Linked DNA regions of Canis lupus familiaris. The protein of the gene in region 1 purifies or fractionates together with the protein of each later gene. This does not show direct contact. Links are inferred from orthologs where the notes say so. Each region holds a gene or a part of one and is shown in the gene's direction. Other genes may lie near its edges.

The links.
Region 2: the proteins of UTP4 (region 1) and WDR43 purify together in Homo sapiens (co-immunoprecipitation; 5 studies listed by BioGRID and IntAct, counting the BioPlex papers as one, with this or other methods). This does not show direct contact. The link is inferred for Canis lupus familiaris from reciprocal best matches to the Homo sapiens genes UTP4 and WDR43.
Region 3: the proteins of UTP4 (region 1) and UTP15 purify together in Homo sapiens (co-immunoprecipitation; 4 studies listed by BioGRID and IntAct, counting the BioPlex papers as one, with this or other methods). This does not show direct contact. The link is inferred for Canis lupus familiaris from reciprocal best matches to the Homo sapiens genes UTP4 and UTP15.
Region 4: the proteins of UTP4 (region 1) and WDR75 purify together in Homo sapiens (co-immunoprecipitation; 3 studies listed by BioGRID and IntAct, counting the BioPlex papers as one, with this or other methods). This does not show direct contact. The link is inferred for Canis lupus familiaris from reciprocal best matches to the Homo sapiens genes UTP4 and WDR75.

The regions. Positions count from the first base shown.
Region 1 is NC_049226.1:81,058,008-81,064,517, reverse strand, and holds part of UTP4 (U3 small nucleolar RNA-associated protein 4 homolog), read left to right. Parts: intron 1-773; coding exon 774-869; intron 870-3,987; coding exon 3,988-4,173; intron 4,174-5,634; coding exon 5,635-5,745; intron 5,746-6,510. UniProt on the Homo sapiens protein: Ribosome biogenesis factor. Involved in nucleolar processing of pre-18S ribosomal RNA. Part of the small subunit (SSU) processome, first precursor of the small eukaryotic ribosomal subunit.
Region 2 is NC_049238.1:22,839,037-22,846,143, forward strand, and holds the end of WDR43 (WD repeat-containing protein 43), read left to right. Parts: intron 1-664; coding exon 665-734; intron 735-3,292; coding exon 3,293-3,342; intron 3,343-3,446; coding exon 3,447-3,638; 3' UTR 3,639-5,058; downstream 5,059-7,107. UniProt on the Homo sapiens protein: Ribosome biogenesis factor that coordinates hyperactive transcription and ribogenesis. Part of the small subunit (SSU) processome, first precursor of the small eukaryotic ribosomal subunit.
Region 3 is NC_049223.1:55,617,261-55,625,290, forward strand, and holds the start of UTP15 (U3 small nucleolar RNA-associated protein 15 homolog), read left to right. Parts: upstream 1-2,786; 5' UTR 2,787-2,869; intron 2,870-3,304; exon of another isoform or gene 3,305-3,377; intron 3,378-3,486; exon of another isoform or gene 3,487-3,527; intron 3,528-3,626; exon of another isoform or gene 3,627-3,811; intron 3,812-4,107; exon of another isoform or gene 4,108-4,220; intron 4,221-6,744; 5' UTR 6,745-6,819; coding exon 6,820-6,909; intron 6,910-8,030. UniProt on the Homo sapiens protein: Ribosome biogenesis factor. Involved in nucleolar processing of pre-18S ribosomal RNA. Required for optimal pre-ribosomal RNA transcription by RNA polymerase I.
Region 4 is NC_049258.1:51,827-59,645, forward strand, and holds the start of WDR75 (WD repeat-containing protein 75), read left to right. Parts: upstream 1-3,540; 5' UTR 3,541-3,609; coding exon 3,610-3,695; intron 3,696-7,819. UniProt on the Homo sapiens protein: Ribosome biogenesis factor. Part of the small subunit (SSU) processome, first precursor of the small eukaryotic ribosomal subunit.

The DNA.
Region 1 (6,510 bases):
TATTAATAGATTGCCTTGTAATCTCAAGGTATTTTTTTTCCTTTTTTTTAATTTAAATTCAATTTGCCAACATACAGTCTAACATCCAGTGCTCATCCTATCAAGTACCCTCAAGATATTTTTTAATTAAATAGAAATTAGAGGAATAGCAGGAAAATACTTTCACTAATTAGTAATGATCTTGTCCACACTTGAATTAAAATAACCCCGTAGAAGTTTTCATCTTCATAAAAATTATATAAGTACCCCAAACTGGCATTAAGCATCAAATGTTTATAGAACAATACCAAACTGTACCATTGAATGAGTTTGCCTGCTAACTGCATTACTTAATCTTGATGACCTTGTGGCAGGAGCACGTACTGCTCTTTGAACTTTGCCTGGCATTTAAGAGTGCACATGTCTTGCAACTGTATATACATGTCCATGTCTAGGCATTAGTTTCTTTTTTATCTAGTGTAGAGCTATAGATTCCTTGTTCAATGACATATTTATGAGCAATTCATACAGATAGAGGGATGGTAGCAAAAGCTTTACTCTGAAGTTTTCTGCAAATGCAGTCAGTTTTGTAAGCAGTTACATGTGGTTTTGTGTTTGCTTGTTTTAATGAAATTTAGGTTTATTTGGAGATACTGCCTGATGTTTTGGGGAGCTTCCATAGAACTTTTTTTTGAGTTCTAAGGAACATTATTTAAAACCACAGACCTAGAGCATCCAGCCTTCCCTGAGGGAAGGTATGTAGAATTGTCTTTTGTATCTGTTATTTGTTCCAGCTTCACTGCACAGTACCTTCCTATAATTTCCCTGTGACTGCTCTGGCCATCGCCCCCAATACCAACAACCTTGTCATCGCTCATTCTGACCAGCAGGTAAGAGATTCCAATGTTTTCTAATTCCTTTCTGTTGGATAGTAACTAAAAAGCTAATGACAATTTTGGAGGAGCCTTTGTTTGAATGTAGTGGAAGATACACAGGTAGTTTTCTCTTCTGCAAAGTAAAGCTTCCATGTATCTAGCTTGGGTATTTATAGGCCAGTAATATCCTTTGGCTTGATGGGCACAATGGAATGATGAAGCTCTGAGATTATAGAGTAAAAGGAAGGATTTTGAAGTACTCATTTTATTGGTTATTTTAATTTTTTTTTTTTTTTTTTTTTAAGATTGTTTTACTTCTTTCTGAGAGAGAGCAGAGCTAGCAAGAGAGAACATAAGTGGTGGAGGGGGAGGGAGAGGCAGACTCCCCTGCTAAGCAGGGAGCCCAATGCAGAGCTCGATCCCAGGACCTAGAGATCTGAGCCAAAGGCAGACGTTTAACTAACTGAGCCATCTCAGTGCCCCTCGTTATTTTAGACTAGAGATGATATGGACCCAGGTGTTAGACTGGATATGGGATGGAATAAGACCTTGAAGTTGGGAGTGACTAAAAAAATCATGAAATTTGCCTTCACTTTGGCAGATACAGAAATTAGGCCATTGCAAAGAGTAGCCAAAATGAGTGCATAGCCTACTGCTTTTTTCTATACCAAATTGTAAGAAAATCTTTAAAATAACTGAGTTATAGCTATTGTGAAATGGAATACATTGTGAAATGATCAGTACTTGACGATGATCCTGATCTGTAAAATGGGCATAATACCTCTCTCATTGAGCTGTTGGAAAAATAAAGTATGGTCTGAGTAGCACATATAAGTAGATTGCTGGGCAACTGATGCTTGCTACTTTAATAGTTTTTACACTCACGTGTGTGTGTGTGTGTGTGTGTGTTCAATCCACAAAATGAAACCTTTCATTTCAGTTTCGTGAGTTTGTGACCTTGTTCAGTAACCGAAAGATTAGTGAAGCCACATCCTTGTCTCTTTTTTTTTTTTAAAGATAGATTTATTTATTTATTTATTTATTTATTTTATTTATTTATGAGAGAGAGAGAGCCCGACGCGGGACTCGATCCTGGGACTCGGACTCCAGGATCACACCCTGGGCCAAAGGCAGGGGCTAAACTGCTGAGCCACCCAGGGATCCCCCACATGCTTGTCTTTATCACACATAATGTCCACCTGATGCCTTTTTCTGGCAGTTGGTCCCTTAGGTGCTTTAAATCTAGTAGGAAATTTTTTTGTACTTGTTAGGTTAACAAAAATCAGTACAGTTGATAATGCACAATGCTGTGAGGATACAGGAAATACCACTTCATACACTGTATATATTAGTATGGCCCCTTTAGAGGACACTTTGAGATGCATTTTTAAAAATTAAATACACATAATCTTTGAATCAGAAGTTCCAATTTTAAGAGTTCTTCCTGGGATGCCTGGTGGTGCAGTTAGTTAAACATCTGACTCTTGGTTTTGGCTCAAGTCTCGATCTCAAGGTTGTGAGATAGAGCCCTGCCTCAGACTCCATACTCAGCGTGGAGTCTTCTTAGGGTTCTTTCTTCCTTGTGCACTCACATGCTTGGGCGCGCGGGCGCACTTGCACTCTCTCTCTCTCTCTCTCTCTCAATCTTTTTTTTTTTTTATGATAGTCACACAGAGAGAGAGAGAGAGGCAGAGACATAGGCAGAGGGAGAAGCAGGCTCCATGCACTGGGAGCCTGATGTGGGATTCGATCCCGGATCCCAATCAGTCAATTTTTTTTTTTTTAATTTTTATTTATTTATGATAGGCACACAGTGAGAGAGAGAGAGGCAGAGACATAGGCAGAGGGAGAAGCAGGCTCCGTGCAGGGAGCCCGATGTGGGATTCGATCCCGGATCTCCAGGATCGCGCCCTGGGCCAAAGGCAGGCGCCAAACCGCTGCGCCACCCAGGGATCCCACCAATCAGTCAATTTTTAAGAAGAAAGAAAAAGTTATTCCTATAGATCTATGCCTTCAGTAGTACAAAAAAGACAGATAATCAGTGCAGCTTTGTAACAGTAAAAGATTGGAAATAGTGTAAATGTCCATTAAACAAATTAGATAAGTAAATCATGATACGTCCAAAAAGTGAATACATTGGGATCCCTAGGTGGCTCAGCTGTTGAGCGTGTGCCTTCAGCCCAGGGTGTGATCCTGGGGTCCCGGGATCGAGTCCCTCATCGGGTTCCCTGCGTGGACCCTGCTTGTCTCTCTGCCTATGTCTCTGCCTCTCTTTCTCTGTGTCTTTCATGAATAAATAAATAGAAAATATTTTTTTTCAAAATATGAATACATGGGGCAGCCCCGGTGGCGCTGCCTGCAGCCTGGGGTGTGATCCTGGAGATCTGGGATCAAGTCCCACGTCCGGCTCCCTGCATGGAGCCTGCTTCTCCCTCTGCCTGTGTTTCTGCCTCTCTCTGTGTGTGTCTATGAATAAATAAATAAAATCTTTAAAAAAAATTTTTAAAAAAATGTGAATACATTATGTGTGAGAGGAGCAAGAGTGATGGATATATAGCTGTAGTTATTGATACTGACATGGCTCAGTCTCCATGATATAATGCTAAATAAAAAATACAACATGCAGAATAGCATGTATTGTATGCATAAAAGATCTGAAAAGATGTAAATAGGCTCCTCTTGTTTTGGGAAGGAGAGGTGTCAAGATGACAGGGTGAATTTCACTGTAAACCTTTCTGGTTTAATTGTTTAGTGTCCTGTAATTAATTAATTAATTAACTTTTTTTTTTTTTTTTTTTTTTTTACTTTAAAAACAGAAAGGGGATCCCTGGGTGGCTCAGTGGTTTAATGCCTACCTTCAGCCTAGGGCATGACCCTGGAGACCCGGGATCAAGTCCCACATTGGGCTCCCTGCATGGAGCCTGCTTCTTCCTCTGCCTATGTCTCTGCCTCTCTCTCTCTGTGTCTCTCATGAATAAATAAATAAAGTCTTAAAAAAAAAAAACCAGTAGGCATAAGGCTGAATATGATGCAGTTAGGGTTTGTATAGATACTTTCTGGTTAGGAATCAGGGATACCTTCTAGTTTTTCTGGGTGTCAGCCTGCATTTCTTGTGTATCCTATCCTTCTTTAGGTATTTGAGTACAGTATCCCAGACAAACAGTATACAGAGTGGAGCCGGACCATCCAGAAGCAGGGGTTTCATTACCTTTGGCTCCAAAGGGACACTCCCATCACACATATCAGTTTTCATCCCAAGAGACCAATGCACATCCTTCTCCATGATGCCTACATGTTCTGCATCATTGACAAGTCATTGGTAAGTTCCTCACTGCTACCACTTGTGCTGACACTGACTTTTCTGTACTTAGGAATTTTCAAGTTCTAAAACCAAGAGAAAGGAGAATCAGAATAAAATTTCCTGACCTATTCTTTGGAGAGAGGAACTTTTGTTTTGCAGATTTCCTCATTTTCACTCCCAGGCCCCATGAGGCTCCCAGGGTAGGGGCAGGCATTTGTGTACTGTTTTTTGCTGACTTAAGCATTCTCTGCTTTTCCTGTAAACATATAAACCTAAGTACGAAAGTGATTAGATGAGTATTCAGAAGGTAACTCTCATGGGGAAGACTGTTGATTTGGCTGAATTACTTCTATCTCTGCACCCTGGGGTGGCTAAATAACACAATTTTATTAAAGGAGACACAGGCTGAGGTTTTGACCACTTTTGCCCCTTGCCTGAAAATGCTGGAATAGTATCTATAAGCTTGAAGAATTGGTCATAATGTCTTGAAAAAAGTCCAGCCAGGAAAATTTCATTCTTCATGGCTGTGATTTTAGAGGGGTTGTGAACATTTTTTTCATTTCCAGATTCCAGCCTCTGCTAGCTGCTGTTTTGATTCACCCCAATTTACATGCCTTCTCTGGACCGCTACTTTGTTTCCTAGGAGCAGTAATAGCTGTGGCCTTGCCTATAATGTACCCTGGGCTTAGATTACAACCAACACACTGTATTTTGGTATATCTGTGCAGGTGGGGGTGGGAAGGAACTGAGAGGAAAGTAGCAGATGGCCTTAAAGGAGGTGTGCATGATGTGTCACTGCAACACATCTCCCAGACCCTCTGTCCTCTGGGCGTGGGAAACGAAGCTGGCTGACAAGTGCCTTCTGCAGAATGAGTGATACAGGAAGGGCCCCTCCCACTCACTTTCCTCATTGTAACTCAGCCCAGGCAGGTCCATATTTTTTGTCAAGCATGGGTGATAAGTCCATCAGTTCCTCATGCTGGGCAGAGCTATTTCCCAAGGAAGTCAGAGATGAAATATCACTTGTTTGGCCAGAGGCCATCTCTCAAAGTGTCAGTGACATCAGTGGGGGTGGTTTGTATTTCGGTTTTGGCCTGGGGAGAACTTTAATCACTTTGCCTGTCTGGTGATCTGGTTGGGAGAAGAGTCTAGAAAGCAGAGCCTGCGTGCGCTAAGCTTCTGCACGTGCCAATTTGTTCCATCTCACAAAGTGTTACAAGACTGGCCAGAAGCTCTGGCTGGTCCCTTTGGTCTTGCTGGACTAGAGAGTACCATGCTCTTTGCTTCATGCTCCCACCCTCTTGCAGTACAGCTGGAAATGTGACTACAGCTTTTCCTGAAGTAATGGGAGTCAAGGAGGTAGTAAATGTCTCATATGATGTTCAAGGGTAGTGTTTGCCTGAAAAATCACTATAGTCCTTTGTTCTGGAGAAGCCTAATAAAAATAATGATTTAAACAGTATGCCTTTGTCTTTTTAGCCTCTTCCAAATGACAAAACCTTATTCTACAATCCACTTCCTCCCACGAACGAATCAGATGTTATCAGGAGGCGTACCGCCCATGCCTTTAAAATTTCTAAGATATATAAGGTAAAACATCTTGCATTATATTCTAGATGGTTGGTTCCTTGTGATATTATCAAAATGTAATCTCCACAGTAGGCAGACAAGAGCACCTTTTATGTGCAGAGAGCCTGGTTTGTAAAGTCAAGTACCTTTCTGAGGATGTTTGTCCCTTATGTTTGCATTTCATTATTCACACCTCAACATATGAGAGGTATGCACATAATACTTAACCAGAATGAAATACATACCTAGTGAGAAATCATGGTGGCGCTCAGGTGGTGTCTTTGTGTTAAAGCTGGCTTTAAATGTGACTTCTAAATGGAGAATTTTCCACCAGATAAATTTCAACAAGTGGAAGTCATTGGATTTATTGTGACTTCCCATTCTGGGCTAAGCCTTTCCACTATATATGAAACAAATATTCATTAAGCTTATGATACTGTAGCTGTTTTGTGCCAATTTCGAAGTTCCGCACTCATGCTTCTCAGATTAGAGTTCCTTGGGTGTCCTGGAACATTTCCTCAGGGGTTTGCAAGAATATTTTTTAAAGAGGGACATCTGTAAATTATTTAAGTATGATTAGTTTCTTAATGCATTTGTGACTTGCTGTTTGCCAAGAATTCAGGCTCCAGAAGTTAACGTTGATCCCTAAGAAGTTAGAGAATAAATGTTCTGAATAGAAAAACATGAAAAATCTTGTTGAAATCTTTTATTTGTGAACTCAGAAGTTCCCAACCTTGAGGTGCCTGTCTGGTTCAGTCAGAAGAACATGCGACTCTTGATCTCAGG
Region 2 (7,107 bases), on another chromosome or scaffold:
GATAAATCAGGATCCAGTCTTTAACTTGGAAATGTTATATATTTGATAGTAAGTAAACTTATGCCTGATTCAGCTTTTCCTCAAAGGTTCTCAGCATCCTATTTTATTTTATTTTATTTTATTTTATCTTATCTTATCTTATCTTATCTTATCTTATTTTATTAAGATTTATTTATTTATTTATGATAGTCACAGAGAGAAAGAGAGAGGCAGAGACACAGGCAGAGGGAGAAGCAGGCTCCATGCACCGGGAGCCCGATGTGGGATTCGATCCCGGGTCTCCAGGATCGCGCCCTGGGCCAAAGGCAGGCGCCAAACCGCTGCGCCACCCAGGGATCCCTCAGCATCCTATTTTAGTTTTTGATAGAGTTAGGATGGTTGTGCTACTATGAATAGCAAGTTACAGGGTATTTATTCAGTTACAGTTTTGGCACAGAAAAATTCTGATCACCTTAAGAGGTTCAACTTTTACAGAATAATTCTTTATTCTTGTATTTGACAAATTTATTTTTTGCCCTGTATTTGGTCTGTATTCCTATTGAGGTCATCCATCGTAGTGTTTGAGGGCAAGTTCACTGTTTGGGAAGGTGGAGCGAGCATGGTGGTGGCTGCCATCCTTGAGATAACCTTGTACTCTTCCTAACAACACTTGATTACCTTTCAGGTTACAGCATCAGAAAAAACAAAGGAAATGACTTGTCCTGCGCAAAAGGCAAAATTGGTGTATGAGGAAGGTGAGGCTTGAAGGGAGTGTGGAATTTAGAATTGGAACATTCATTATTTAATGTTGAGTTCTGTTACCTTTATTTTGTAGAATATGAATGTGAGTAAGATCATGCTATGGCATGCTTTTTCTAAGAAAATGGGCAAACCTGTGGCAAAAATATGATCCAGTAAAAGAGAAGGTGCAAATGTACAGTAAATAAGAAGGCACACTAGGTGTGGAAGATATTTAAATAGGAAGACACTATGAATAAACTTCTATGCCAGCACATTGCACATTAAAATCCTAGATGAGAATAAGTAATTTCTTAGGAAACAGTAATGACCAAAAGTGACTTAAAAAGAAATAGAAACCAAAAAAAAAAGAAAAAAGAAATAGAAACGTAGAATAAGCCAGTGGCCTTAAATTGATTTAATCAAAACCTTTGCTCAGAGATGTCAGGCACAGAGTTTTATTTAAAATTTTTTATTTAAATTCAGTTTGTCAACATATAGTGTAACACCCATTGCTCGTCCCATCAAGTCCCCTCCTTAGCAGGCACAGAGTTTTTATAGGTATATTTTGTCAATCTTTCAACGAACAATTCATTTTTGTCCTGTATAAACAACTCATGCATTTTATGAGTCAAACCAAATAAGAATGATAGTTAAGGAAATAAGATTTTAGGTCATCTTCAAATATCCTGAATAGTAAGTTGATTATTATAGAAATGCTTGTGTAAAAGAATATGTCATTACCAAGGAGAATTTATTTAAAGATTCTAAGGCAAATTAGCAGGAAATCTATTAAATATAGTTACCACATTAACAAATTAACAGGGAACAATATACGTTAGTAGATACAGAAAAAGAATTCAATAAAATTCAGCCTTTCATCATCTTATTATTGATAATCCAAGCAACTTAGGAATTTAAAGGAATTTCCTTAGTCTTATCAGAGTTTAAAAGTATTCCCACAAAGTCAGGAACTAGACAATAATGCACCTTTTATTACTTTTGCATATCCTGCCTAGTATTGTATGAAAGAAGTGAATCCTAGAACATTGGACTTGGCAGTTATCCTTCTCAACTTAGAAAATGAAGCAGAATCTAGTTACACCATCATTAATGAGATGAAAATAAACAAGTTTACTGGAATCCCAAGATCACAAAAAGGAGTCAGTAGTATGATTGTCTCAGTAATGTATTACAGAAAATATATTAGGAAAAAAGATTTCATTCACAGCAGCAATCAAAACTAGAAGTACCTAGAAATATAAGTGAAACAAAACCTTTATAGAGAACATGATAAAACATAACTGAAGGACATAAAAGCATACCTAAATTAGACTTTATTATTAATTACTTAGACTTTTTCCAGTTTTATTGAGATATAATTATATATAATATTGTACTGTTTTAGGTATACAACATAATTATTTGATCTCTGTATATATATTGTGAAATGATTACCATAATATGTTTAATCAACATTCATCACCACTCATTGTTGCGGTTATTTTCTTATGCTGAGAACTTTTTTTACTCTCTTAACAGCTTCCAGTACACAGTATGGTATTGTTAAGTGTGGTTACCATGCTGTACATTATATCCCCAGGACTGACCTGTAATTGGAAGTTTGTACCTTTTTTTAAAAAAAGATTTTATTTATTCATGAGAGAGCCAGAGTGAGAGGCAGAGACATAGGCAGAGGGAGAAGCAGGCTCCCCATGGGAACCCGATATGGGACTCCAGAACCCTGAGATCATGACCTTGAGCCGAAGATAGGTGCTCAACCACTGAGCCACCCAGGTACCCCAGAACTTGGTACCTTCTGCTTTTCACTCCTTTACTACACTCTCCATACCTCTGGTGACTACCAGTCTGTTCTTTGTGTCTTACAAGCTTGGTGTTGTTAGACTGCACACATGAGTATGATCATACAGTATTGTTCTCCAGAGTTATTGCACCTAGTACAGTCCCCTCACCATCTGTGTTGTCACAAATAGGAGGATTTCCTTTTTTTTAATAGCTGAATGGAATTTAATGGCTGAATGTATATCACATTTTCTTTAACCATCCATCCAGCCCATCAATGAACTCCTAGGTTGTTTCCATGTCTTGGTTGTTGTAAATAATGCTGCAGTGAACATGGGGGCGGTGCAGGGATCTCTTTGAGATCCTGATTTTGTTTCCTTTGACATATGTCCGGCAATGGTATTGACAGATCATCTGATAGCTTTATTTTTAATTTCTTGGGGAACTCCATACTGTTTTCAGTAATGCCTGCACCAATTACATTTCTACCAAGAGCACATGAGGGTTCCCTTTTCTCCACATCCTTGGCTTAGTTTTTTAAGATGATTTTGTTAGGGTTTTGGTACTTTGTCCTACCCAGTGAGATCTTGGTGGAATAATTAATGGACTTTTATGCAGATAAGATTATTAATGTTACTGCTTAAATGGATGATCACTGAATGTAATATTTCTAAAAGTAAATTCAAGAATCTGACTCTGTTTATTTAGTTTTTAGGGCTCTGCCCTCTGCAGAGTAGATCACATACTTAAGGCTGAGTTTTTCCCCTTGCAGAATCTTCTGAAGAGGAGTCAGATGATGAAATTGCAGAGAAGGACTCTGATGTGAGTACCTTGTTTTTTGGTCCATAAATCTGCCTTTATACCCTTCTAGTCTGTATGAACAAGGGCTTCATGAATGTTTTCTATGCTTCATCTCTTTCTAACAGGATAACTGGGATGAAGATGAGGAGGAGAATGAAAGTGAAAAAGATGAGGATGTTGATGAAGAGAACGAAGAAGAAGAGGAAGATGCTGAGGAAAAAGATGAGGAGAATGGGGAGGACAGGGATGTGGCCAGTGAGAAAGAATTAAATGGAGATTCTGACTTAGATCCTGAAAATGAAAGTGAAGAAGAATGAGGATGGAGAACAAGCTGATGGACCTCTGTCACTTCTGGCACGCGCCTTCCCCCATGCTGCCGACTTCTCCTGGGAAGGGTTGTCTCTGGGACAGGCGCCAGGGACTGTTGCACATATCCAGATTCCTCGTGCTGGTCCCTATGCCGTCTCGCTGTCCTGAGCACCCCAGACTTCACTGTGTAAATAAGAGTGTTTCCTTCAAATGTTAATAAACTTTACACAGCAAATAGACACATTTTCTGCAATGTACTGACATGAGTGTCCAATATTTGGTATATTTTTATAATATAATATCCCAGTATGGTTGGTTCTAGCAAGAATTGACATAAGTGAAGACACACATTTCCCATGTAGGGTTTCAAGAACTGGACTTTTGTGAAGGAGTCAGCTCTTATCTCAGGTTGGTATCTTTCATCAGATCCAGATATGAAGCAGCACTAGTGAAAATTTTTAATTTAGTACATTTTCATAAAATATGAAAGGGTAACTAAAGATTTGGAGTAAAAAAAGGTTGGGATTTAAGAGTTAAATATCAGTATCCCTAGCTTATCTATTAATGGAGGTGATCTGATTTGAGTCAGGTTGAATATTTGGAGTGCTTCCCCCAAACAGCCACTTATTTTTTAACCTGTCATGTGGAATATTTTTTTAAAACACACAAAAAATTATGGTAATTAAAAAACTAAAGAATTAGCCATATTAAGGATTTTTCTTGACTGCAAGTTGCCTGTAAAGAATCATCAGTGTATAGATTTAGAAGTACTCATTACCTGCAACTTTTTAAAGAATTCAGTTATAGCTGCTTTTGAAGAGGTTTTCATTTTTATTTAAATTACTAATGGATCAAAGAACAATTGTTTATTTTTTCTCTTTGGTTTTAGATATTAATGATAACCTTGTTGGAATTTTTTTCCAAAGAAAATATTTTTATAATTCAGTAATTTAATGTTTTCCTTTTCATTATCCACTCTTGGCAGTGTTAGGATATCTGTTTACCTTTAAAATAATAAATCTGACTCAAGATTTTTTATGTATGTATAAATAAGTATTTTGGTGTGCTACAAAAGCCTCATATTATCAGTTTTTTTTTAAATGAGCCAGTATTTGTTTAGTGCTCACTAGGGAACATGCAGATGGAAGCTCAACTCTAAGGGAGGGCAGGGGAGATGGGTTTATTTTTACCACCTGTGAATATGTAAAACACAAAAACCATTATCTCTGAGGGACTTTTTAACATCAGTGGCAGAACAGAGATTTCTGTGCTCTACTCATAGAGCTGGAGCCACACAAGCATCTTGGGAAAGTAAGTTTGAGCCAGCTACTGGTGTAATGTACAGTTATATTTGTCTATAAATGGAACTGTTTATGACAATTTAATACCATTCTCTTTGTAAAGTGAATAAATATTCATCTTTACCCAGTGCTTGTCTTGTGATATATGTAGAGGAACACAGCCCATATGGTTGGGCTTGTGTGAATATATCAAGAAAAGCAATTTTATTCCACTAGCATTAAAAAGTAAATGTGCTCAGGATTTGTTGGAAACCCTAGACTTGGTAGTGTAGTGAATGAACCAAGAACTTTGAATTTCGATGCAGCTCCACTGGCTGGGTGGTGTTTCCACAGCCCGAGGCTGCAGTGGCAGTCTCCAGGACCTACATGCTCATGTACTGCATCCTGCCTTGTGGTCTGGGAGTCTGATTTCACTATACCTTACTCTCCCTGAAGGAGTAGAAGGCTGTAGGGTGTAGTGATTGCTTCCTAATTACTTTTTGGGTTAGACATCGAGGGCTTAATTAGGCTTGTTCCAAAGACATTTCTGGTTCAGGGTGTTTTTCACAATGTTGTTCAACAACTAGTCCAGGCAACAACAGTGTGTGGCTGAGGTCATCTTTTCTGAGATTAGTTTTTCACCCCCAACCTTTTATTTTGAAAAGTTCACTTTCCGTTCATCATCAAGGATTACACATTGTATTTGGTTGTGTTACTGCTATATTAATCGGAATTCTCCCTTTGTGTTTCATGATTTTGATATTTAAATGATTCCACATGTATTATGCTGTATTGTAGAATGTTTTACAATCTGGATTTGTCTGTTTTCTTATGATTAGATTCTGGCTTAAATTTTCTTCTTTTGGGGCAAGAATACTAAATAGTGGTATTTGAGATTAATTTGTAAAAAGTTCTTTCAGTACAGATGACTATATTGGTTATAAGTGTTTTGACATATGTAGAGGTCAAGTTTTTAGGTTTCTGAATGGAAGTTGTAGTGCAGAGGGGTGCTTGAGGGTCAGAAACTGGATCTTGGTAGTGAGAACACTTTTCTGTGGAAGTTGTCTCTTAGCATGGTACATTCATTCATTTAACAAATATTGATTGATTGCCAACTCTGTGCCAGGGGATATGTAGTTCCTTGTTATATATATCACTGAATTCTGTCCTGAGGAGCTGATGTTCTAAAAGATACAGGCAAAAACGATGTATAAAGAATAAGTAAATTCTGTGTAGTATGTTAGAGGGTGGTAACTTACAGGGGTTGGAAAGTGGAGTAAGGAAATGGGGAGCCTGCATGGGGGAGTGTAGGTTGTAGAATTAAATACATGATCAGGTTAGGGTTTATTGAGAAGGTGAGATTTGATCATAGACTAAGAGGGGTGAAGAACTTAGCAAGTGGGTATCTGGAAGAGTGTTCTAGGCAAGGAAAGCGCCGAAGCAAAGGTCCTGTGGCCAGCACATGCCAGTGATTGTTGTAGTGAGATGTCAATGAGACAAACAGGAAGAAGGGGAGAATGGAGATTTGGTATTGACAGGTATGTGACAATAAAGCCACGAGACTGCATGAGCTTCCCATGGAGTGAATGTACGGACACCCAGGTCTCATGCTCCAGCATCAGAATAAGAAGAGAAACCCCAAGGGACACATCCAAGAAACACTGAGAGGTAGGAGGGTTTGACATTTATTTACTCTTCATTCTCTTCAAATCTGAATTCATGAAAACCTTCAGCTATGATTTTTTCAGCTCTAAGTGATGTTACCCATGAGTCCTCTCAGGCCGCAGTGGTTATGGTGCCTACCCTTCATATGCCTATTTGTTGATCCCTTCTTTTAGAGGCAACTCAGGCATACAGTTTATTAATCTAATGTCATCAGTCTTCACCGTTATGGCACCTCAGTACTGTCCACTGTAATGCCGACCCACTGTGTTTCCAAATTGTATACTGGATCAGAAAATGCAGAATGAGAGGCCATAGCAGTGTAGACAGCATCATTAGGAAACAGTCTGGCCGAGGAACAGAATAGATGGAGTTCATTCTTCTGTACAGTGCTGGCTGACAGGATGTGAGAAAATCAGATTGTTCTTGGCAGTACTGTGATGGGTTTTCATATATATATATGTGGATAATTTTTATTAGGAAGGTAGATCTGAGAAGAACAGGGCAATTGTAAATGCACTTTAGGAGGTGAGGG
Region 3 (8,030 bases), on another chromosome or scaffold:
TGCATTTTTAATAATCATTGGTACTTCCCTAAAAACCTTAATATAATTTCAAGAAAATTTCATTATTGTACCTAAAACTGCTTTAAAAAATTAAGAATTCCAAGACTATAAATACCCAATGCATATAATCCCTGAGACAGGAAGAAAATCAAAACATTTGGTTCATCTTTTTATTTAGGGTTTACTGCCTCTTAGGAATTTTGAGAGGGTGCAGGGTGTTATAAAATTGGAATTTAAAAAGAAAAATGCAGGACTGCTTGGGTAGCTCAGTTGGTTAAGTGCCTGCCTTTGGCTCAGGTCATGATTCCAGGGTTCTGGGATCCAGTCCCACGTCGGGCTGCTTGCTCAGCAGAGAGCCTGCTTCTCCCTCTCCCTCTGATGCTCCCCTGCTTTTGCTCTCTCTCTCTCTCAAATAAATAAGTAAAATCTTAAAAAAAAAAATGCATTAGGATCACAGTGGAACAGAGGCTGGCAAACCATACATTTACATATGACCACTATTTTCGGTTTTAAAACATTTTCCAAGATTGATCCTTATAGCAATCCTTTGAGTAGTGATGGTAGTTAACTGTTCTTTCCTATGTAGAGAAGAGGAAACGGGAGCTTGTATATTATGATGGACCCATCCCGGGCTTTGGCTACATTACCTTGACCACTAAAATAAGAAGCAGCACTATACTAATCCAAACTTCCAAGGGACAAGGCTGAAGAAATAACAAATAGTAACAATAGTGATAAAAAGAGTAACAGGAGTAACAGGTAACAAAGTCAACATACTTCAGCAAAAGGAAAGAAGGAAACCAGAACAGAAAATGAGCTATGATTCAAATGGAGATGGAGGAGCAAAGGGCTTTAAAAATGTATCGCAAGATATGAACTGTTTCCTGAGAGAAGAACCATCTCCCACAGACCCCTGCGCAGAGCAAGGGTCCTAAGCTCTCTTAGCACACTGCACTTATTTCTATTTTCAGTATTTTATCGTTCTCTTGAAAATTTCCACTTAACTCCCAAGACATGGAATGTAGGATAGAGACCACTACTAATCTCTGCACACAAGGCAGGGTGTGATGCTATCAGGTGTTCCAGAAACGCTTCCTGACCTGAACTTTGACATCGTTTCCATATTCTTTTCTATCCTGAAATGACCCTGCAAGATGCCCAGCGAAGGCTTTGCTAAATGAGCTTCAGCTTCACCTTCTTCTCGACATCACCACTCACTACCTGTGCGACCCTGGACGGAACAATCACAATACGATTTCCGAGAGTCATTTTATTACTTTATACAATTTAGATGGTTGAAATAGACATCTCTAATATTCTTTGTGGCTCGAAACATCTTCAACATCGTAAAACTGGGTTTAGGGGATCCCTGGGGGGCTCAGTGGTGGAGCGCCTGCCTTGGGCCCAGGGCCTGACTCCAGGGTCCCGAGTTCGAGTCCTGAGTGGAGCTCCCTGCATGGAGCTCCCTGCATGGAGCCTGCTTCTCCCTCTGCCTGTGTCTCTGCTTCTCTCTCTCTCTCTCTGTGTCTCGCACGAATAATAAAATCCTTAAAAATAAATAAACAGGGCAGCTCTGGTGGCCCAGCGGTGGAGCGCCCGCCTTCGACCCAGGGCGTGACCCCGGGGTCCCGGTTGGAGTCCTGCTTCCAGGCCCCTGCACGGAGCCTGCTTCTCCCTCTGCCTCTCTGTCTCTTGTGTCTCATGAATAAATGAATACAATATTTTATAAAAAAAACCATACAAACTTGGACACCTGCGGGGCTCATCATTGGGCACCTGCCTTGGGCCCAGGGTGTGATCCTGGAGACCCCGGATCGAGTCCCCTATCGGGCTCCCTGAATGGAGCCTGCTCCTCCCTCTGCCTGGGTCTCTGCCTCTCTCTCTGTGTCTCGCATGAATAAGCAAACAAAATCCTTAAAAATAAATAAACAAGGCAGCCCCGGTGGCCCAGCAGTGAAGCGCCCGCCTTCGACCCAGGGCGTGACCCCGGGGTCCCGGGTTCGAGTCCTGCATCCGAGGTCCCGCGTCGGGCTCCCTGCATGCAGCCTGCTTCTCCCTCTGCCTGGGTCTCCCGTGAATAAATAGATAAAGTCTTTAAAGAAAAAAATAAATCTGGGTTTATAGGCGGAATGGAATTCTAAGTCTCGGAGGGGGAAACCGGGGCGAGGAGGCGGGGGACGGAACATGGGCCCTGCAGCTCCTCCGAGACTCCAGGGACGGGCCGGGGCGGAGGGGGGGGGTATGGGGGCGGGGTGGTAGGATGGAGCCGGCCGCGCGGCTGGGGGCGCAGGGACCCGGAGACCCGGGGGCCCTGGGAGCAGCAGCCCCGCCCCTCCGGGACCTGGGGTCGCCCGGGGTCACCCGAGGTCGCCTGCAAGGGAAGGAGGCGCCACCGCCCCCGCCGCCCGCCGCCAGCTCGCCGAGGGCCGCAGCCCGGCGCGCACCCCACCGGCGCGGGGCCGCCACACTACCTTCGACCGCCGACAGCCCGTCGGGCCTTTCCATCTGCGGCCCCGGGCTCCGCAGGCCCCCAGCCCCGGCTGCGTGGGAGCGTGACGTCACTTCCGCCGCCTCCTCCCGGCTCCCGGCGGCAGGAACGCCCCGCGTCGCCGCCCCGGGAGGCCCTGCGGGGTCCTCCCCGCCGCCGCGCGGTCGTCGGGGCGCGAGCACCACGGAGCGCCGGTCCCTGGACGAGACCCGACCGGGCCACCGCGGCGACGCCGCCCGGCCCCGCCCCGGCCCCGGCCCCGCCCCTCTCGCGCCGCGTCACGCGCGCCAGCCGACGTCGTTGCGTCACTGCTGTGCGACGCGCCGGAGCGTGGGTGCCGAGTGTCGGCGGCTCCCCGGGAGGCCCGCGCGGTCCTGGCAGGTGAGCCCGGGGCGCCCGGAGCGGCGGGCGCGGGGAGGGCCGCGGGGGCAGGCTTCGCAGCCGCCGCCGAGCCTGGCTGCCGGCCGCGCGGCTCTGCGTCCCCGCGGGGCGCTCCGCTCCCGCGTGTCTGCGCTCACCGCGCCCGCGCGGGTCCCCGGGGTCGGGCCGCTCCCACGGGCTGCGGGCGGCGCGGGCGGCCTCGGGGCTGCGGGGAGGGCGGAGCCTCGGCCCCGAGCCCTGCGCGCCCCGCGTGCGCCGGCGGCCGCCCGGGCTCTCGTCTCTCCCGGGCCGCGTTCCTCCTCGCCCCCTCCACGTTGGGGCGCCCCCCCTCCGCGCCGCTCCTCCCTTTCATCCGCCAGCCGCTTCATTGTAAAGATTTTATTTATTTATTCACGCAGGACACAGAGGGAGACGCAGGCAGAGGGAGGAGCAGGCTCCCCGCAGGGGCCCGACGCGGGACTCGATCCCGGGACCTGGGGTCACGGTGCTCAACCGCTGAGCCATCCAGGTGTCCCCTCCTTTTTTTTTTTTTTTTTTAAGAGATTTTATTTATAAGAGACAGAGGCAGAGACACAGGCAGAGGGAGAAGCAGGCTCCCTGCGGGGAGCCCGACGCGGGACTCGATCCTGGGTCTCCGGGGTCGCGCCCTGGGCCACAGGCAGGTGCCCACCGCTGAGCCCCCCCACCCCACCCCCGGGGCTGCCCGCTGTTAGAGCTCTAAGGGGTTTCTCTGCAGGCGGAGCTCTGAACTCCGCTGCGGCTGCTGTTGTAAGGGGTGGTTTTGCCTGCGATGCGGTGAGAGGGGGAGGCCCGCAGGCTGGAGTGGAGGGGTGGAGGCCGGCGGCTTTTTTTTCCTCGGGCAGCCGCTGAGCCTGGAAGGCTTTCTACAGGTGAGTATTTGCAAGGTGTCCGATGATAGGAAACACGGACCTCGAACCCGAAGTAAGTGAAGTGCTTTTCCCTTCGTCCAAAAAAGTCTCTTCTTTTCACTCGTAAATAGAAAATTGTACCTATAATTATTTGGCAGGGGGGTGTTTGTTATTTAAAAAAAAAAAAAAAAAGAGGGATCCCTGGGTGGCTCAGCGGTTTAACACCTGTCTTGGGCCCAGGGCGTGACCCTGGAGTCCTGGGATCAAGTCCCACGTCAGGCTGCCTGCATGGAGCCTGCTTCTCCCTCTACCTGTGTCTCTCTGCCTCTCTCTCTCTCTCTCTCTCTCTCTCTCTCTGTGTCTATCATAAACAAATAAATCTTAAAAAAAAAAAAAAGAAAAATGGGGGGGATTTTTTTTTCTTGCCTGCTTTCTTATAACTACATAATCTCCGTTTTGCCTGTTGGCCTGCAAAGCCTAAGGTATTTATCATCAGGCCCCTTAGAGAAGAGGCCTGTTCACTCTTGCCGGAGTAGTGTTTGTACTATCGACACCACTTGTGCCTTTAATTTTGTTTTCTTCCATGGAACCCAGCACAGTGCTTCCTTTCATTCCTTCCCCAGGTTTTCTTTAAGCACTTAAGAAAGTCTTCCAGATAGGAAATTAAGTTTAATGGGAAGAAGAGAGTATTACAAACGCAGCGTTGACAGTGCACACTGACAGATGTGCACAGTGAAGTGCCATTAGGAGTTCAGAGAAGGGTGGAGGGTCTGATCCTTGAATTGAGCTTTAAAAGATAAGAAAGAAGTGGGTAGAGAAGAGTTCACTCCTGGCAAAGAGGACAGATGAGCAAAGACAGAGAAGAAAGAGGAGGGTGTGTTAAAGGGATAGCAAGGGGGTGAAGCTGAAAAGGTAAGTTAGGGCCAGATCATAGGGTGTGTTGAGCAGGTCGGACCCTTGTTTTCAGGTAGTGTTGTGCTTTGTAGCAAAAGCTTGATTTGCTGTGTAGTCAGGTCTTGCTGACGGCTGTTTAGATGATGGGCAAGGGAGTCAAGGAGACCTCACATTGCGCTGTTTCTGTAGATGGGAAGGTCTAGATCGGAGCAGTGGAACCTGGCGGAGTGGACGTGATGAAGTTTAGGGAGGTAAAATCAGCAGGTCTTGTTAATTCTTTGGGTGTTAAAAGTGAAGAGGAAGGACAAGTCAAGGCAAATTTCATATTCCTAGCTTCTGCCACTCACCAGCTAAAATGGAAAATATCGGAGGGTGTGAGGGCACTGTTTGTTTTACTCAGTGTTGTACGTCCAGAACCTAGAACAGTGTCCTGTATATCGTAGGTACTTGCACAGAACAGTTTCCTTTTGATCGTTGGTTGCTATGTTTCATCAAAACAACCTTTAGAAAATGTCATACCTATTTATTTTGGTGTTATTGGTGCACTCTTTTCAGGACTTTTGAAACAGATGATGATTTGCACCACAGATAAAATGAATTTCTTTTGCAGTTGAATAGTCCTGGAGAGACATTTTGGCTTAATTCCATGTCAGTTAAAAGTTATAACTCATTTTTATCCTATTCTGTCATTTATTTATTTTTTAAAAGATTTTATGTATTTATTCTGAGAGACACAGAGAGAGAGACACAGAGACACAGGCAGAGGGAGAAGCAGGCTCCATGCGGAGAGCCCGATGTGGGACTCGATCCCAGGACCCCGGGGTCACACCCTGGGCCGAAGGCAGATGCTCAACCGCTGAGCCACCCAGGCGTCCCCTATTCTGTCATTTAAATTGAGAATTTAATTTCAGAATTGCTTTATTCTTGTTTCTTTTCATTTTAATTTTTAAAAAATGTTTATTTTAAGCTTTTAAATTGGAACTGCATCAGAATATTACCTTTTATTTTTAAGCTTTTTAAAAAAATGAACGTCCATCTTTCTTTTTTTTTTTTTAGATTTTATTAATTTATTCATGAGAGACAGAGAGAGAGAGAGAGAGAGGCAGAGACACAGGCAGAGGCAGAAGCAGGCTCCGTGCAGGGAGCCTGACGTGGGACTCGATCCCGGGTCTCCAGGATCAGGCCCAGGGCTGAAGGCGGCGCTAAACCGCTGAGCCATCCGGTTTGCCCTATTTTTAAGCTTTTATTTTATTTTTTATTTTTTTATTTGAAAAAAATTTTTTTTAAAATTTTTATTTATTTATGATAGTCACACAGGGAGAAGCAGGCTCCATGCACCGGGAGCCCGACGTGGGATTCGATCCCGGGTCTCCAGGATCATGCCCTGGGCCAAAGGCAGGCGCCAAACCGCTGCGCCACCCAGGGATCCCTATTTTTAAGCTTTCAAATTTAATTTTAAGCTTCTATATTAGAATATTAGCTTTGTTTCTATTTTTTTTAAGATTTTATTTATTCGAGAGAGAGAGAGAGAGGCGCAGACACACAGGCAGAGGGAGAAGCAGGCTCCCTGTAGGGAGCCCGATGTGGGACTCGATCCAGGGACCCCGGGGGTCACGCCCTGAGCCTAAGGCAGACACTCAACCACTGAGCCACCCAGGCGTCCCTAGCTTTGTTTTCCTTTTTGGTATTTGTAAGACTTTCAGGAGGTTAAGACCCTAGACCATGTTCAAATAAATTAAATGTCATCCTAAATTTAGTTTCAGGAGACTTGTATTTGCAGTTTCACGTTAATGTTTTTGCGTTGTTAACAGTCTAGGCCAGTGGACTACTTCTGCTTTGGCTACTGGGTGGCTAAGCGAGATGTATTCCCGTGTGTTATAAATTGGTTAGTTAAGTGTGAGAACATTTGTGTGCAGTTTTGTGTATAACTGAATGGATGGTGCACTTTGGTAGCCCTATCTGTATTCTACTTGCATCTTCTAGATTGTTTCTTCTGTGTTAGAATTAAATGGTTTATTGGTCACTACTACACAGCCTTTTGAAAAGACACAACGTGAAAATGGTAACTATACAGGTTTGAGAATAATATATATAAAATATTTTCTTTTTCAGACATAAAGCAGTCACTTATTTCTAACGTCAGTTTCAACTATTTATCCTTGGATAACAGTCCAACCGAATGAAATTATGTCTGGGTACAAGCCTGCAGCTATTCAGACATATCCTGTACTTGGTGAAAAAATCACCCAGGACACACTGTACTGGAACAACTATAAGGTAAATGTAGATGGTAATGAAGGGTTTGCGTTTATGCTTATTTCTCCAGCATTTGTTACACTTGGGATACTCTAATAGAGAACTAATAACTAAAAAGAATCTATCAGCAGTTTAGTTTGGGTGGGAAATTTGATATTTGATAGTTTTTCTTGGAATTTTTAAAATAAAAGTCCGTATTGGTTAGTGATTTTAATCATACAACTGCCTAGCAGAGAATAAACAGATGATTAATGGATGCCAAGTGAAATAAATTTTTGAATTTGAATCTTGCATTATTTTTTTCTTTTGCTTTTCTCAAACTAAGAAGTGATGCAGAATTCTTCCAGACTGTCTACAAAGGCTTGGAAATGATTTTTTAAAGAAAATGAACAATTAAATACAAAAATGGAAAAAGATTGGGATGGGAGGCTTATGGGATAAGAAACTTTTTTAAATAAGATTTTATTTATTTATTTGAGAAAGAGAGAGAGGAGAAGCAGGGAGTATCAGCAGAGGGAGAGGGAGAAGCAGACTCCCTGCTGAGCAGGGACCCTGATGTGGGGCTCCATCCCAGGACCCTGGGATCACGACCTAAACCAAAGGCGACGGGTAACTGACTGAACCACCCAGGTGCCCCTGGAATCAGAAATTTAAATGACCAGTAAATATAACAAAGAGCTACAGCTTCGTTCATAATTAAAAAAGTGTAAATTGAAACAGTAATTTGGATACTATTTTTCATCTGTTACAGTGACACAAATGAAAAATTTTGATCATCATTGCTACTCGAGGGAGGAAAAGTGGTGTAAACTTTCTGGAGGGCATTTTGACATTATGATAAAAATATATTTTGGCCATGTAAATTCTGCAGTTTGGAACTTAATGATTATACTCCCCCAAATTTGCTAAGATGTATGTATGTAGGTGTTTATTAAAGTATTATTTTTAATACTAGAAATTTTGGAAAAATCTCTGTATGTTAGTAGTAGATTGGTAACGTAAATTATGATGTATCCTATAACGGATGGCAAATCTGTTGAGCATATCAAAAGTTAGCTAAGATGTGTTACTGAGTGGTAAAAAAGCAAGGTGCAGAACAGCCTGCATGCATGGTATGATCTTTGTGTCAGTTACAGAATACA
Region 4 (7,819 bases), on another chromosome or scaffold:
TGTCCATCGAAAGATGATGGATAGAGAAGCTGTGGTCTATGTGTACAGTGGAATATTCCTCATCCATTAGAAATGACAAATACCCACCATTTGCTTCGACGTGGATGGAACTGGAGGGTATTATGCTGAGTGAAATAAGTCAATCAGAGAAGAACAATCATCACATGGTGTCACTCATACAGGGAATATAATAGTGAAAAGGATTATAGGGAAGAGGAGGGGAACTGAGTAGGGAAAAATTAGAGGAAAACAAATCAGGAGAGACACCTAACTCTGGGAAACGAACAAAGGGTAGTGGAAGGGGAGGCAGGTGGGAAAGGGTGACTGGGAAACAGGCACTGAGTGGGGCACTGGCCGGGATGAGCACTGGGTGTTATATGCTGGCAAATTGAACTCCGGTAAAAATATACATAAAAAATGAAAAAAAAAAGGGTGCAGATAAATAAAAATAGAAAATAATAAATAATTAAGAAAATCGATGAAACCAAATTGAAAAGATTAACAAAATGTTCCATTGACAACATTTAGATACACTAAGAAAAAAAGAGAGATGATGCAAATAACTAAGAACAGAAATAAAAGTGGGGACATTACTACCAATCTTACATAAATAAAAAAGATTATAATAGAATAAATATGAACAATTAATTATAAGCAAACAAATTAGGAAACCTAGATGAAATGAGAAAATTTCTGAAACTTATGAATTACCAAAACTAACATAAGAAGAAACAGAATTATTTCAACAGACCTATAACAAGTAGAGACTGAATCAGCAATCACAAGCCTCCCAGCAAAGTCTAGGAGCAAGTAGCTTTATTGGTGAATTTTACCAAATATTCTTAAAAATTAACACCAATCGGGGATCCCTGGGTGGCGCAGCGGTTTGGCGCCTGCCTTTGGCCCAGGGCGCGATCCTGGAGACCCGGGATCGAATCCCACGTCGGGCTCCCGGTGCATGGAGCCTGCTTCTCCCTCTGCCTATGTCTCTGCCTCTCTCTCTCTCTCTCTCTGTGACTATCATAAATAAATAAAAATTTAAAAAAAAAATTAACACCAATCTTTCACAATCACCTAGAAAAAAATAGATGAGGAAACAATTCCTAACTTGTTCTATTTGGCGAGCATTAGTCTAATGCCAGGAGCCAAAAACACCACAGAAAAGGAAACTATCGGTCAATATTCCTTATTAATGTAGAAATTAAAATCCTCAAAAAATAGTAACAAACCAAATTTTAAAGCATACTAAAAGGATTATACACTATAACCAAGTGGTTTATCCCAGAAATGCAGGAGTGTTTCAAAATATGAAAATCAATGTTGTAATACACCACATTAATATAATTAAGCAAAACCCCCACACAATCATCTCAACTGACACAGCAAATTCATTTGACAAAATCCAACATCTTTCATGATTAAAACACTCACCAAACTAATTATAGAAGGGAATTTCCTCAATAAGATAAAAGGAATTCATGAAAAACCACAGCTAACATCATAATAGTGAAGGACTGATCCCCCTAAGATCGGGAATAAAACAAGAATGTCCACTTTCACCATTGCTATTCAACCTTGTATTGGTAGTTCTAGTCAGACCAATTAGGCAAGAGAAGGAAACAAAAAATACACAAACTGGAAAAGAAGTAGTAAATATTCATAGATAACATGATCTGATAAATTAAAAAATCCTAAGGTATACACAATAAAGAACTATTAGATCTATAAACGAATTCAGCGAAGTTGTAGGATGTAATACCAATACACAAAAATCAGTTTTTATTTCTAAACACTAGCAATTGAGAGAGGATAAGTAGTGAGTGCTTAATGGTAAAGGCTTTCCTTTTGCGCTGACAAAAATATTCATGATAGATACAGAGAGTGATAGTTGTACATTGTGAATATATTAAATGTCACTACCAACAACTTTATGTATGTAAAGGTCACCACAATTTAAAAAAATAACTCTGGTGCCTAGGTGACAATTGCAGACCAAATACATCAGAATCTCTGGGGGTTGGATCAGGTTTCATTATTTTCTAAAGTAACCCAGGTACTTCTTCTGTATAGCTAAGATTAACTACTTGTTTACATATAATAAAGAGAATTTAGTAAGTGGTTGATATAAATAGAAGATCCTTTGGGAATATGGCTGGCATAAAGTATTTTGCAATGCCAGGTACTTAAAACTATAATGTTTTGTTTAAGTTCGTTTTATTGCATAGCTTTACTTAAGAGCTTTATTGCATAGCTGTCATTAAAATGTGCAATTTTTAGCTTTATGAAGTTATTCCCTATTGCCCACTCTCTCAACCTGAGATCTGAGAGTTCAATTGTAGTCTTTAAATTTTGAGATGCCATTTTGATAATCTGAGAAAAAAAAGATCAGTACAGCAACAAAAGTTTTCTTTTATAATGAAACTTCCCAATACATCTCCAATCTGTAAAAAATAAAATAATCTTACCTCTGTTTCCTGTCTTCATGAACGCCCTCCATCTCCCTTCCAGCTATCATGTTTCTTCCTTTCTCCGTTCACCAAAACTCTGAAGGAGTCCTACTGTCTCTAATTGTACTCCTCTATCCTCTCCCGAACCCACTCAAATCCCATTTTCTATCCCATCACTGCATCAAAACTGCTATCAAAGCCCCCAGTGATTTCCATTCTGCTCAGGACAGCAGTCAGTTGTCTTCCAGTTATTTAATCAGTCACACATGACAGAAGGATCGATTCTACCTCCTTCTTCCTTTGACTTTTTTTGATGGCATATATCCTCCTGTTTTCCTTCTTAAGCTGCCCAATCATTTGCGGGTTTTTTCTTCACCTTCCCGATGCCTCAGACTCAGTCCTTGGACCCGCTCCACGTTCTAGGTACACTCCCCCCATCGGTGACCTCAGCCTGCCCCGCGGCGCCTCCGTGTCACCCGCACGCAGATGGCTCTCGGGTCTCTATCTCCGGCAGAGAATCCGCTAGGCTGCAGCAGGAGCGGAAGCCCACTCAGCCTCAGCGTTGAGATGGCTCGTAGGACGGTCATACCCAGGGGCACCCCCCAAAGTCTGTTTCCAGTCTTTCCTTCACGGCACATGGTGACCTCAGTGCTCAAGGTCCCAGTTCTGGAGTCACGTCCCACATCATCCTGCACACATTTCATCTATCAGGCGGCCCCCACGGGAGGTCACGGGAGGTCACGGGAGACGCGGGGGGGGCGACGGGAGGTCACGAGAGGTCACGGGACACGCGGGGGGGGCGTCGACGGGAGGTCACGGGAGGTCACGGGAGACGCCAAGGAGGGTCGACGGGAGGTCACGGGACACGCGGGGAGGGGGGTCTCCCTTGTGGCGGAGGGAGGCGACCAGCAGACTGTGGGCCGGAGAGAGGCTCAGCCGCGGTGGTTAGAGCTCGGGAGCGCCTGGCGTGAACTCGGGTCTCTAAGTCACCGCTTAGCCCGCACGTCTCTCACGCCGCCCACACGGAGACGGCCGCCCAGCGGAGCTCGCGCCACGGACGCTGCGGCCTCGAGGAGCCGCCCCGACTCCGCCCCCAGCCCGGCCCCGCCCCCGGCGGAAGTTCCCGGCGGGCCGCCCCCGCGGCTTCTGCGCCTGCGCGAAGATGGCGGAGGAGGGGACCGTCCGCGTGGTCCGCTGTGGCGGCAGCGAGCTCAACCTCCGGAGAGCCGAGTTCTCCGCGGATTCCAAGTACGGGGCCGCGGCCTCGGCCGCCGGGTGGAGGCGGGAGGGGGCAGAGGTCAGGCGCGTCGGGCTCGCGGACCCGCGGTCCCGGGCTCGGGGGGCGCGCGGGCGCCGGGGCCTGAGGCTGCGGCGGAGTGGAAGCTCCGCGCTGTGACCCCGACGCTGGGCGCGCCTCTGCCCGGGGCCGCTCGCCCGCGGGTGGGTGCAGGCCCGGGGGACCCCGCGCCCCCGAGTCGGCGCGGCGGGGGGGCGGGTGTGCGCACGGCCCCACGGCACCTGGGGAGGGGTGGGCGCGGGGTCCCGGCAGGACCTCGGGAGGGGCGGGCGCAGGGTCCCCGCGGCACCTGGGGAGGAGATGCTCCAGGGTCCCCGCAGCACCTCGGGGCGGGGGGGAGGGCGCGGGGTCCTGGTAGGACCTCGGGAGGGGTGGGCGCAGGGTCCCCGCGGCACCTCGGGGAAAGTATTTTGGCAACCTTTGGCAGCTTTGCGTGATGAATCGGGGTGTTCGTTTCTGTGCGGGATAACAACATATGTAAACCCTGGTCCCTTTTCTCAGGAGTTCGGTGTGATTGGAAACTAAGATGCTCGCTAGGTTTAAAACCTGGTTCTTCCGTCGTGTGATCTTTGCAAGTTCTTAATCTTCTCTTCAGTTGCTTTTCCCGTAAAACAGGAATATTTTGTAATCCATCTCCTAGGGTTGTTGAGATTGCTTAAATGCTGTCAGGCGTAGAAAGCAAGTAAACAGCCTGGCAGTTAATGGCTTAGTGTTCGTCAGTTGTCATCTTCCTTGTTGCTCCCTTGTCAGCATCATGTAGAAGTGATACCTTGTAGGAAGAGGTTTCAAATTTAAGGCCGGTGACCCTTAGTAAAAACACCTTCTGTCTTGGAAGAGTCAAGATAATAGCTTAGGAAAGTTCATATCCCTCACAAAATCTTGCTTGTGGCCGTATGATACTTGTTGAACGCAGGCGAGACTGAAGGAGCTTTCAGGAGCGTTCATAAACTGCCCTAAGAGTAAATCCTTGATCCTTCCATGAAAGAGGGTTTTGTTGATATTTATCTTCTACATCAGGAAGAAATGGAGACTTAAAGGGTGCCAAAGTGCCGCCACTCTGGGCCTAGATCTAGGTATCCACTCTCTTTTTCCCCCGTGTACTGTCTCTCCATTTTACTGTAACGACACGCAGTATTTTCTTTGCTAAGTCTTACAATTTGTTTTCAAGTATTTGTCAACTATGTATTATTTATGACAAGTTGATACGACAGAAATTAAGATAACTTTAATATAGATCCTACCTTCAAGACCTTACAGTCTTGATGATGAAAAGAAAATAATTTGAAACGTGTTTCATAGTGTGGTACTTTGGAAGTTCCTAAGTAGGAGAGAGCACTTCAGACTGAGGGTGGGCGGTTCCCAAGGAAGTGATATTTAGGCTAGGCCTTAGCAGGTGAGTGGTATCCTGACTAGGGGATATGGACAGGGGGCGTTGCAGATAGCGGGCACGGGCAAAAGGAGTAGAAGCCTGAGGATACTGGACAGACTATGGTCCAGTTAGCTAGTACGAATGGTGGATGAAGAGAGCTCGTGACGGAAGAGGAACATGAAGCCGGCTCTTGATCGTTTGGTCCAAAGAGTGTATATTTTTATTCAATAGGTGGAGAACGATGGGAGGTACATGATTGTGTTTCTTCAAGAAAAATTAATCCGAAACCCATTTATAAAACTGTGTAATAAGTGGTGGAGAGCAGCAAGATCAGAGGTGGGTTGGCTTAGCATACTAGAGGTACAGTGTTGGCGTGGAAGGGAGAGTGATGTTGAGGTTTCCCTTCACTATAGGATCTTGGAAGAGTAACAGGAGTTTGCCCCACCAGTGATATTGGGGGAGGATATCCAGGCAAAGTGTGCAGCTTTAAATTGCTGGGGTGATGTGAGGGATAAGGAGTATCACGTGTGTACGGTCAGTACAGCATAAGTCTAGGGGAGAAGAGTCTGGAACAGTATACACCAGGGCTTAAAAGGCTAATGCAGGCATCCAAGCAAGACATTACTTTGGCCTGAGCTAAGATAATATTAAAGATGAAAGGGATGCCTGACACCTGGGTGGCTCAGCGGTTGAGCATCTGCCTTCAGTTCAGAGTGTGACCCCAGTGTCCTGGGATCGAGTCCCGCATCGAGCTCCCTGCAGGGAGCCTGCTTCTCCCTCTGCCTGTGTCTCTGCCTCTCTGTCTCATGAATAAAATCTTTTAAAAAAATATTGAAGATGAAAAGACCATTTTGGAGTGATGTAGCAATTAGGATTATTGAGAAGATGATGAGTTCATCTGGGGGGCTGTTGAGTTTAAGGGTTAGGGAAATGACCAGTTGGACAAGCAAGGATTAGGTAGAAATTCAGTACTGAAGTTTGGGGAATTTGGTGAAGATTTAGCTATGTTTTTGTTGTTGTTCGGTTTTTGTTATCTATGTAGAATGTAGCAATTAAAATCAGTTCTCTAGCAAATTAATAGGGTTTTAGTGAACTTATCAAGGAGTTGAGGATTATCAACAAGCGTTGGTTAGTTAATACAGAAAGAATAAGGTAATTTTGTATTTTGCTTCAGGGAGCTTATCAAGAAATCTGAAACAGTAAATAAAACCATAGAATTGTGGCATATGCAAGACATTCTCCTGGTCACTGGGTGCTCTTGGAATTAGGACACAAAGACGTGTGCAGGGGGTGTTCTGAGAGGCAAGCCGAGCGCTGGGTGTCCATGACAGTAGGTGACATTCCTGTGTCTGGTATCACGGACTCCAGGTCCAGCACTGTCTGTATTACATCCTGTTACTTCCCACATTTACAGGATGCTCTGCATTAGGTTGCTAGGGCATAAAAGATTTTAAAAGAAGTCATTTTTGCCATTTGCATTCCTGAATTCTCACAAAGCTAATGTCCTTCTCTAGATATTTTTCTTTTGCAGGCCATTCTGTGTACTGCTGCTGTAATAATTTTCCTTGTGTTACTGTCATAATATTATTATTCTCACCCTTAGTCTTGCTCAGAACCCTGTAATAATCTTTTGTTGCCGTCCTTAAATACTGCTCTTTTGTTTGGCTTACAAGGCCTTCCGTGATCTAGCTTGAGTCTGCTCATCCAGTGTGTTTCCTGACATAACCCACTGTACACACTTTGCTTGTTAGAAAGGTACATTTCCAATTTCTTGTTAGTTGTATCCCAGCTTTTGCTTATGTTGCTATTTTTCCTTCCCAGCTCTTAAATTATGCATCCTTCAGAGCCTCATTTAAGTCCTGATTCCTGCTTTAAAGCATCCCTAACTTCTTGCTTCTCCACTTCATCAACAAAGATGAGTTGAGTCCTATGTGACAAGCATTGTGGTAGGTGCTTACATGCATTTCTGTCTACAAGGTTAGGTATTATTATCCCAATTGTATGGAAATATTTACTGAGTGTATACTGTGTGTATTAAGGGTGCATTTGCATGTGTTGTTTCATTTTATCCTCATAGTCACCCTGTGAGAAATCTTAGAGTGGAGAACAGTGACATTTTAGAGAAGTTAATTCTCCCAATATTATTCAGCCCATTTGTGGTAAAGCTGGCGTTTGAACCTATTTGTGTTTGACTAGTTAAAAAATGCGTCGTTCCCTACCATACGATACTTTTGTTACTGGATTTATAATAAGTACAGGCACCCTTCCTCCCCTGAAAGAGCTCACAGTCTGGTAGGGGAAGTCTTCCAAGGATGTCATGTGGTAAGTGCTGTGATAGAGCTAAGCCTGCCATCTTGTAGAAGCATTCAGAGTGGTGCTGATGTGGAGTGAGAAAATGTGAGGCTTCACCTGAGCTGAATTTGTCTTAAGGAATTAATTATAAAGTGTTCTGGGTAGACCACAAAATATACCAAAGCCTGGAGAGAGCATTTTCCTTTGGGAGCTTGCATTCAAATTTAAAGCCATTCTCTGCCAGGGAGCAAAGAGAGAGAGGACATTCCTTTCCTCTGGGGAAGCCTATCAGTTTGGAGTTTTCTTGGCACATGGTACCCTCTCCCCCACCACCATCTCAGGGGACCTGTTAGTATTAATGGAGTGTGTCTGTGGGGAGTGCAAGGATATTGGAGTTGTGAACCACTTTACTAG